Cricetulus griseus: one gene and its partner. The protein of the gene in region 2 purifies or fractionates together with the protein of the main gene of each other region. This does not show direct contact. Links are inferred from orthologs where the notes say so. Each region holds a gene or a part of one and is shown on either strand. Other genes may lie near its edges.

Region 1 (3,818 bases), on a different chromosome or scaffold from region 2:
CTACTTCTCATGTAGCTATGGGATAAGTCCTTATCCCATATGGGATAAGACACTGGGATAAGTAGATGAACATTACCTTTTCTCCCACTGCACCAGGGTTGCCAATTCCTCCGGGAGGACCCTGTGGCCCATCAGCACCTGGAGCTCCAGAGGGTCCTCGGGGGCCTGGGGGACCAGGAGGTCCCTGGAAAGAAGAGAGGCCATTGAACAACATAAGATGTAAACATCCTTCCCCAAAATGTAAACCGGGAGCACCATACTGGGTCTCAATGGCCCAGCTACTTACCATCTGGCCCACATCTCCTGTCTCACCCTTCTCTCCTGGAGGTCCTGGCAAACCCTGTGGACAGGAAACTGGTGAGATACTACTCTGTGAGAGACACACATGGCTCTCATGATTGTCACTGCCATGATTGCCTCTCCCACGATGTTTCCCGAAGGCCCTGAAATATGTTTCTGTGAGTCTCCCTCCACGGAAAGAGGTTTCCTGCTTCCAGAGCTCAAACAGCCGAGGACATAATCAGAGGAGAATGCCAAGATTTATGAGCACCAGCGCTTATGGCAGCTTCCCATAAAACAATAAACCTAATGAGGCGGCAGCAGGGACGCTTCCGGATAAATCAAGTCCCCTCCATATGCCAAATACCACCTAGTAACTAAAAAATGTGTTTTCCAAAATAAAGTCTTGTGTTCAAAGAATATTTGATGACATTTAACATGCCCCATAACATAAAACTGAAGGCTGGTGTATGCTTTACAGCACACAGCGAGCTTGGTACTTCCCTAACATCCAGTTGAATCGTGTGGGTAAGGGCATTGAATGAGGTGGACTGGGTAGATGGCTGTCACTTCTAGGTGGTTTGTATCCCTTTAATACAGGTTACCATTTCCCAGGGTTCTATGGTAAACACAGAAGCAGCTTTGACTATGTATGAGCATCACCCAAGTGTATGTGTGTACTGGAAAACTGGCAGATCTTCCAATCCCTACTACTGAGGCTCAGTTTCCTCATGCTTACAATGACAGCAAGAATGGGCCCAGCAAGACACTGACACATTGAGGGGGGGGATCTCCTAGGAAGCTCCATGGTTACCTGTAATCCCACTGGCCCCGGTGGTCCTGGGAAACCTCTTGAGCCTTCATCTCCTTTCTGCCCGAACAGGCCTTGCTGTCCACGAGGACCTGGCTCACCATCTGCTCCCTGGAGGAAGGAAGTGAGCATGGGTGAGGATGGACAACGGCTTGAGAGGTAGGCCTTGCTACATCATTCAACATAGATACTCACCGAGGGACCTGGCTGTCCAATGGGGCCTTGAGGACCCGTAGGTCCAGGAGGACCCTGTAGGGGTCAAACAGAGACATAATTATTTTGACATTGCAGATGAGTCTGGGAGTAGGTAAATTCTGTCACCAGAAGTGGCTGGGTTGTGCAAGATGTGACTTATCAGAGTCAAATGGGCCAGTCATCAGAGGAACACTAACTATGAACATCATGGCACAAGCCAGGTTTTAGGCTCTGAGAAGTAGGTAAGACTCTCAATTCAACCAAGATCACATTACTATGGGTAACAGAAACAGGAAAGGTTACTCTGTGTCCGCTCAGCAACCACCATACACCCTGTTGTGACAGAAGAGACCCCCTCAGACAACAAGGATCAGAGGCCTCAAAGGGAGGACTCCACCATGACCCTTTCTTGTATGCTGTCCTCAAGTGCCTATCACTGTGGGTGCAGGAATGGAGAGAGAGAGAAAAGCCAGGAGGAACAGAGAGCCAGAGGCCTGCACTGAAGCCTCTGATATCACCTCAGGAGTAATGACACTGACACCAGTCTGAGGCTCAGACTAGTCCCCACTTTGGAGGGGACTCATGGCACTGGGGGGGGGCTGGTGTGGGTGACAGGGCCGTAGCACCCTCAACTCCGTGTCCCTGGATGTATGAAAGACTAAGGGACAAATGGATGCTTTGCCTCTGCAGAGCTCTGTGGTCCTCACTGATGGGTCCCCAGGCAGACAGATGTTCTTACACCAAGAGATTCTCTCACACACTTGAACACACATGCACACTGGATACTCTTGGGAAAGAAATGTAACTGGTGTGACCCAGGAGTTCTCTGGAATCACGGAGTGTGAACAGAGGGTCATTTTGCTCTCAGCAGCCACTCCAGCACACTTACACTCTTACCTGCTCGCCTTTGTCCCCCTTGCTTCCTTTCTGCCCTGGCTCCCCGATCTCTCCCTGGGGATGGATAAGAAGGACGTTGTTAGTCCGGTGGCTGGATGTACCCTTCTTAGTCCTTTGGGCAATCGTTCTTGGAGACTGACAACAGTTGCTCTCCAGATGGTACCAAGATTTGCCAACAGAAAGCATTTTCTTATGTGAATTTGATTTCCTTTCTGATTTTGATGTCTGTGTATATATAGATGGTGTGTGTGTGTGTGTGTGTGTGTGTGTGTGTGTGTGTGTGTACACATTCATGTGTGTGCACATGGCTTGTATATCTGTGCACTGCATGAGACACTCTGAAGAGGCCAGAGTGGGTATTGGGTACCTTGGTACTGGAGTTACAGGCAGGTGTGAGCTGCCATATGGATGCTGGGAACTGAACCCTGGTCCTCTACAATAGCAGCCAGTGCCTTAATCACTGAGCTGTCTCTTCAGTCCCCTATTTTGTTATCTGTTCCTTTTTGAGGCAGGTTTCTAGTGGCCTTGAACTTGCCTCCATTGACTAGGCTGGCCAGCCACAGAGCCCCAGGTATCTTCCTGTCTCCACCTCCTGGGTTCTGAGAGTACAGACACACCGCCACACCTGGCTTTTTTAAACTTGTGTTTGGGAAGTCAAACTCATATCCTAATGCTTGCAAGGCAAGCACTTTACTAATGAACCACCTCCTCCACTACTCTGTTTCCTTTGTGGTTATTGCAAAGGTGTTAGTAGACACGGTGATGTGGCAGTCTACCATCCTGGTGTTTCTATTGGACCGCCTCCCACATGGAGACAGAAGACTAAGACGTCCTCTGTGCAGAGGTGACAAAGTCAGAAATATCACCAGAGAGCTATGACAAATGGAGAACAGGGCTGAAGAGCTAAGCCACACAGTCTCTCCTTAATGAAGTATAAAATCCAGGCTCCTCGGTAATGGCATCAGAAATAGCAATAAAAACAGAGCTTCGATCATTCAAGGGAAGACACTTAAAAATAGACACAGAGTAAAACCTCATTAAATCCAGCCCCACACAGTCCCAGTCTGAAAGGTTCAGAAGGGAGCAGAGAGCAATTTCTTCAGCTCTGGCTATGACCTGCACACGTCTCAGACAAGTCTGCCAAGGAGTCAAGCGCTTTCCAGGCTCCCCACATATGTCTTATTTGTTGCCATTTATTTGTGTGCTACTTCAAAATCATCCCCTCACACCAGGTCTGAAGGGACACTGCACTGCGCTGCCAGCTGAGCCCTCTAGATCATATCCGATGCTGTTTAAACCCTGCCCTTGTACTCACTGCCTGCCTACCCACACACTCACACTTCTCCATACCTTATCTCCATCTTCTCCAGGAGGACCGACGGGGCCGGCTGGACCAGGAAGCCCCACAGGACCTTGGAGGCCATCTCGGCCAGCTGGGCCTTGTGGACCTTTCTCGCCCTAGAGAAGACAGGAAATTCAGACTCAATGCAGATTCATATTAGAAACATCAAGCCACCGCCCCTCACCCCAGAGAGGGGCCCTGGAGCAGGAAGCCGGGGTGTGAGGGAGTGTTTAGGACCATGGTGGTCCTAACATGTCAGCAAGGGGCACGGAGGTGGTTTCTCCCAGTTTGGGC
Region 2 (3,818 bases):
CTGAGAGTGTAAGGCTGTTTGTTCCCATTTCCTCCCTAAGTGTTTATTTACAACAACAAAAACGAAACTAGAACAGAGGCTCATTCTGTCAGGCTCTAGACCCGTCCTGATTATTTGAATGTCTTTGGGGTACCTGAAACCTGAAGCCCTGGGCCTCTGGGCGCTGAAAGATAGGCCCAAAGCACCCTGCTCAGTTCTGACAACAGTAAGGTCACTACTGACTGTTTTCTGTTGCCTGCCTGGAAAGGTGGCTGGAGTGGAAGGCAAGAATGGAAAGAGCATGGCAGATACCCACCAAGGATCAGTGGCTAGTAATAGGGTCTCACTTTGGAAACTGTGTAAATGTTTGCCTGAATTGGCTGGTCCTAAGCAAGAAACCTGTCTTCACTGTGGCTGAGCAGAGTCTCTGCTCAGATGGGGAGGTCTGAGAGCACAATGGGGTATCTTGTTGTAGTGGTTTGAAAGACAATGGGCCCCAAAGGGAGTAGCACTATTAGGTGAGGTCTTGATGGAGGAAGTATGTCACTGTGGGGGCAGGCTTTGAGGTCTCTTTTGCTCAAGCTTTCCTCAGTGTGACTGTTAGTGGACTTCAGTGTGACTGTAGGTCAACTTCCTGTTGCCTGCAAGATGTAGCACTCTCGGCTGCAGCACGACATCTGCCTGCACGCTGCTGTGCTCCCCTTCATGATGATAATAGACTGAACCTCTGAAAGTGTAAGCAAGCCATGCCAGATGGTTTCTTTGTAAGAGTTGCCGTGGGCATGGTGTCTCTTCACAGCAATAAAAACCCTAAGACACTTGTCTAGGGACAATGTCTGATCTGAAAATAGTCTGACCCTCAGAATAGTCTAGCTCAGGTGTGGAGGAGTGTCTGGTGTCTCTACCAAAAGCCAGGGCTTCATACCTTGGTCAGGACAGAAGCCCCACTTCCGGTCATCATCATAGGTAGCTGTGGTCGCACACCATATTTTCCCATCATTGCGACCGGCACTGGTGCAGCTCTCATATTTGTTGCCCAGGAAAGTGAAGGGGAAGACACATGGAGCACCTTCTGAATTTCCTCCCACAGTGGACATAGCTGTTGGGTAAGGAACACAGGTCAAGGGGCAGCAGAGGATCTAAGGCCACTACCAGGAAACAAAGACAAGATATTGACATTAACATACACTCACTGGAAAGGGATGCTGTGTGTGGACAAGTGGGTATTGAATGGCAAAATGCTTGCCTCTGAGGGTCAGAGAGAGGCAGTGATACCCACCGGTCTCTGGGCAGAATCCATATTTCTTATCTCGGTCATAGTCCTCAGTGGTGCCACACCAGCGGTAGCCGTCTGTGCGGCCCTCGGTGGTACAGCTGTTGTAGGAAGTGCCCTGGAAACGGAACGGGAACTTGCAGGGCTGTCCATCTGCATTGCCTCCCATGGTAAATAAGGCTGGGGAAAGAAAGAGAGGAAGAAGATGCCACTGAGAGAGATGTCTGCCTGGGCAGAGCTGGCTAGTCAACCACTTGCTGGCTCATGCAAACCAAATGGTTGCTGTGTTAAAAATATTAATTACAAACAATCTCTAGGGAATAGAGAGATGGCTCTGCAGTTAAAAGCAACAGCTGCTCTTCCAGAGAATTCAAGTTTGGTTTCCAGCACCCAGGTCAGACAGTTCACAACCATTTGTAACTACAACTCTGGGGAATTTGATGCCTCTGACCTCGGAGGGTACCTGCACTCATGTGTACATACTCACATAAAGACCCACACACCTACACATAATTTAAAATGATAACATAAATCTAAAAGGCCACTTTCCCCTCATTATAGTGAAGATCTGCTCCTCCGAGAAAACTCCAGTCCTTTCTGGACAGTTTTACTGCTGCTGTGGCCCCTGCAGAATGGAGAGGAGAAGGAGGCAGGGACAGCTGTTGTCTAAGCCTCCCGTTCTGAGAACTGCAGGATAGGGCCATGACTGGAGAATAGAGAGCGGTAGAATCAAGGTCAGCCTGTCTGTCTTGGGCTCTTCCAAGCTTTCTGTCCCTCTATCCACTCCAGAGTTACAAAATGGTGTGGATCTGGAATTGCCAACTAGCAAAACCACAAGTACGTAACAAGGACCATCTGTGCACAGCAGTGCCAGAGGTGACATCACCAGGCCTGTTAACTCTACCACGGGCTGAATGGAGCCCAACCCCTGGCATCCCAATGCAGAACTTGGGGGTGGGGGTCTCTATCTTCAGTTCAACCCTAAACAAGAAACCTTTCCTAATGAAGCAGGAGGTGTGAGACCTAGGGAAGAGGTGAAACTGAGTCGAGACTCTGGATGATTTAGAGTGGGGAACAGCTAAGTGACCACTCGGATCCCACCAGCTGTGTTTCTGCCACCCAGAAGCCCATCTCCTCTGGGACCCACACGCCTCCCAAAGAGAAGGTTGGAGAGCAGACACTGAGTCAGCCATCAGGAGGGCCTGAGTAATCAGAATTTGCTGTTCCAAACCCAAACACGTGTGCACTGTGCGTACTTGCACCTGGCTAAGGACCAAAGAAATGGCCAGTGTCTGACACAGAGGGAACCTTTCCAAGCTCGTGAAGGTGGAGGCTGTTTCTGTATCTATCCATGAAGCCTGTTCTATCAGAAGGGCTGAATCAGAGGTTTCTGTCTTTCCTCGTGTCCTACTGGGAAATGCAAGACACAGACTTTTCTTTTAAAATCCCTGGTTTGCTAATAGTCAATTGCTTGAGTTTTAGTACATAGTTTAGCTTCAGTGGTAAAAGCATAAACAGGCTGTGGGTAGAGATCAGTGGTGGAGGAGAATGTGTCTAGCATGTGTGAGGCCATGGGTTGGATGTCTCAAAGAAAGAAGGAAAAGGAGAAATGTAAACAGGAAGACAACTAGAAACTCTTTGTTTCTTCCCTTCTGTCTGGATGATTGGTGCCAGTGTTGTTTTGCAATAGGGACAGGGAGAGTTGCAAACATACATACACAATTATATACAACTACAGTCCTTCCTCAACCCAAACAAACTGCCCTTAATTAGTCCATACCCCAGAGAGATTTTATGGGCTGGGGAATAAGCTAATACTTAGAAGTATGGCTGTATTTTCTCCCATTTCTCCAACATTTACTGGGCTTCTGATCTCTGGAACCATCAAGTGAGATGGCCTGACCAAATATGAAGTCGTGCATACTGTTAAAACGATTTATGATTAGAAAGCATATCCAGGATGTTTTCAAAGTTCCCCTTTCCGCACTTTTACCTCAAGTGATGGTAGATGGAGAAAAAACGTTTTTGAGCTTGAATGAGCACGGGGTGAACTCGCGAGCGCGCGCGCGCACGCACACACACACACACACACACACACACACACACACACACACACACACTGAGTAGAGCTAGGTGTCTTTGCCATGACACAAAGACAGAAATCAGAATTAGATGTCATAGCTGTGACCTCTTACACTGACTCTCAGTACAGTAGGACCAGTGTGGGAGAGAGGGCTAATACGCTCAGATTACAGACCCTACTTCAATCAAGGCTTGGACTGAGCCTTGTTCTCCTCCCACAGCTAAGCCTTCCATCCATCTCTGTGCCTCAACTCTCTTATCCTCCTGTTTTCCTGTCCTCCTGTTCTTGAGCCCTGGGTCTTGTTTGGAGTGCATAGTGGCCCTAGAAACAATCTAAGGTTATTCTCATGTGTGTTAGAAAAAAAATAATATACCAAATCCACAATTTCACAAATAATACTGCTAACAGTGAGACTTTCAAAAACCTGAAGTGACTTATGTAGATATAAAGTAAGTACATATGGTCATACATCACAAAAATAAC

The links.
Region 1: the proteins of Mmp2 (region 2) and collagen alpha-1(V) chain purify together in Homo sapiens (co-immunoprecipitation; 3 studies listed by BioGRID and IntAct, counting the BioPlex papers as one, with this or other methods). This does not show direct contact. The link is inferred for Cricetulus griseus from reciprocal best matches to the Homo sapiens genes MMP2 and COL5A1.

What each region holds. Positions count from the first base shown.
Region 1 is NC_048599.1:139,697,328-139,701,145, reverse strand, and holds part of collagen alpha-1(V) chain, read right to left. Parts: intron 3,641-3,818; coding exon 3,533-3,640; intron 2,237-3,532; coding exon 2,183-2,236; intron 1,340-2,182; coding exon 1,286-1,339; intron 1,202-1,285; coding exon 1,094-1,201; intron 341-1,093; coding exon 287-340; intron 185-286; coding exon 77-184; intron 1-76. UniProt on the Homo sapiens protein: Type V collagen is a member of group I collagen (fibrillar forming collagen). It is a minor connective tissue component of nearly ubiquitous distribution. Type V collagen binds to DNA, heparan sulfate, thrombospondin, heparin, and insulin.
Region 2 is NC_048596.1:168,546,646-168,550,463, reverse strand, and holds part of Mmp2 (72 kDa type IV collagenase), read right to left. Parts: intron 1,433-3,818; coding exon 1,259-1,432; intron 1,079-1,258; coding exon 905-1,078; intron 1-904.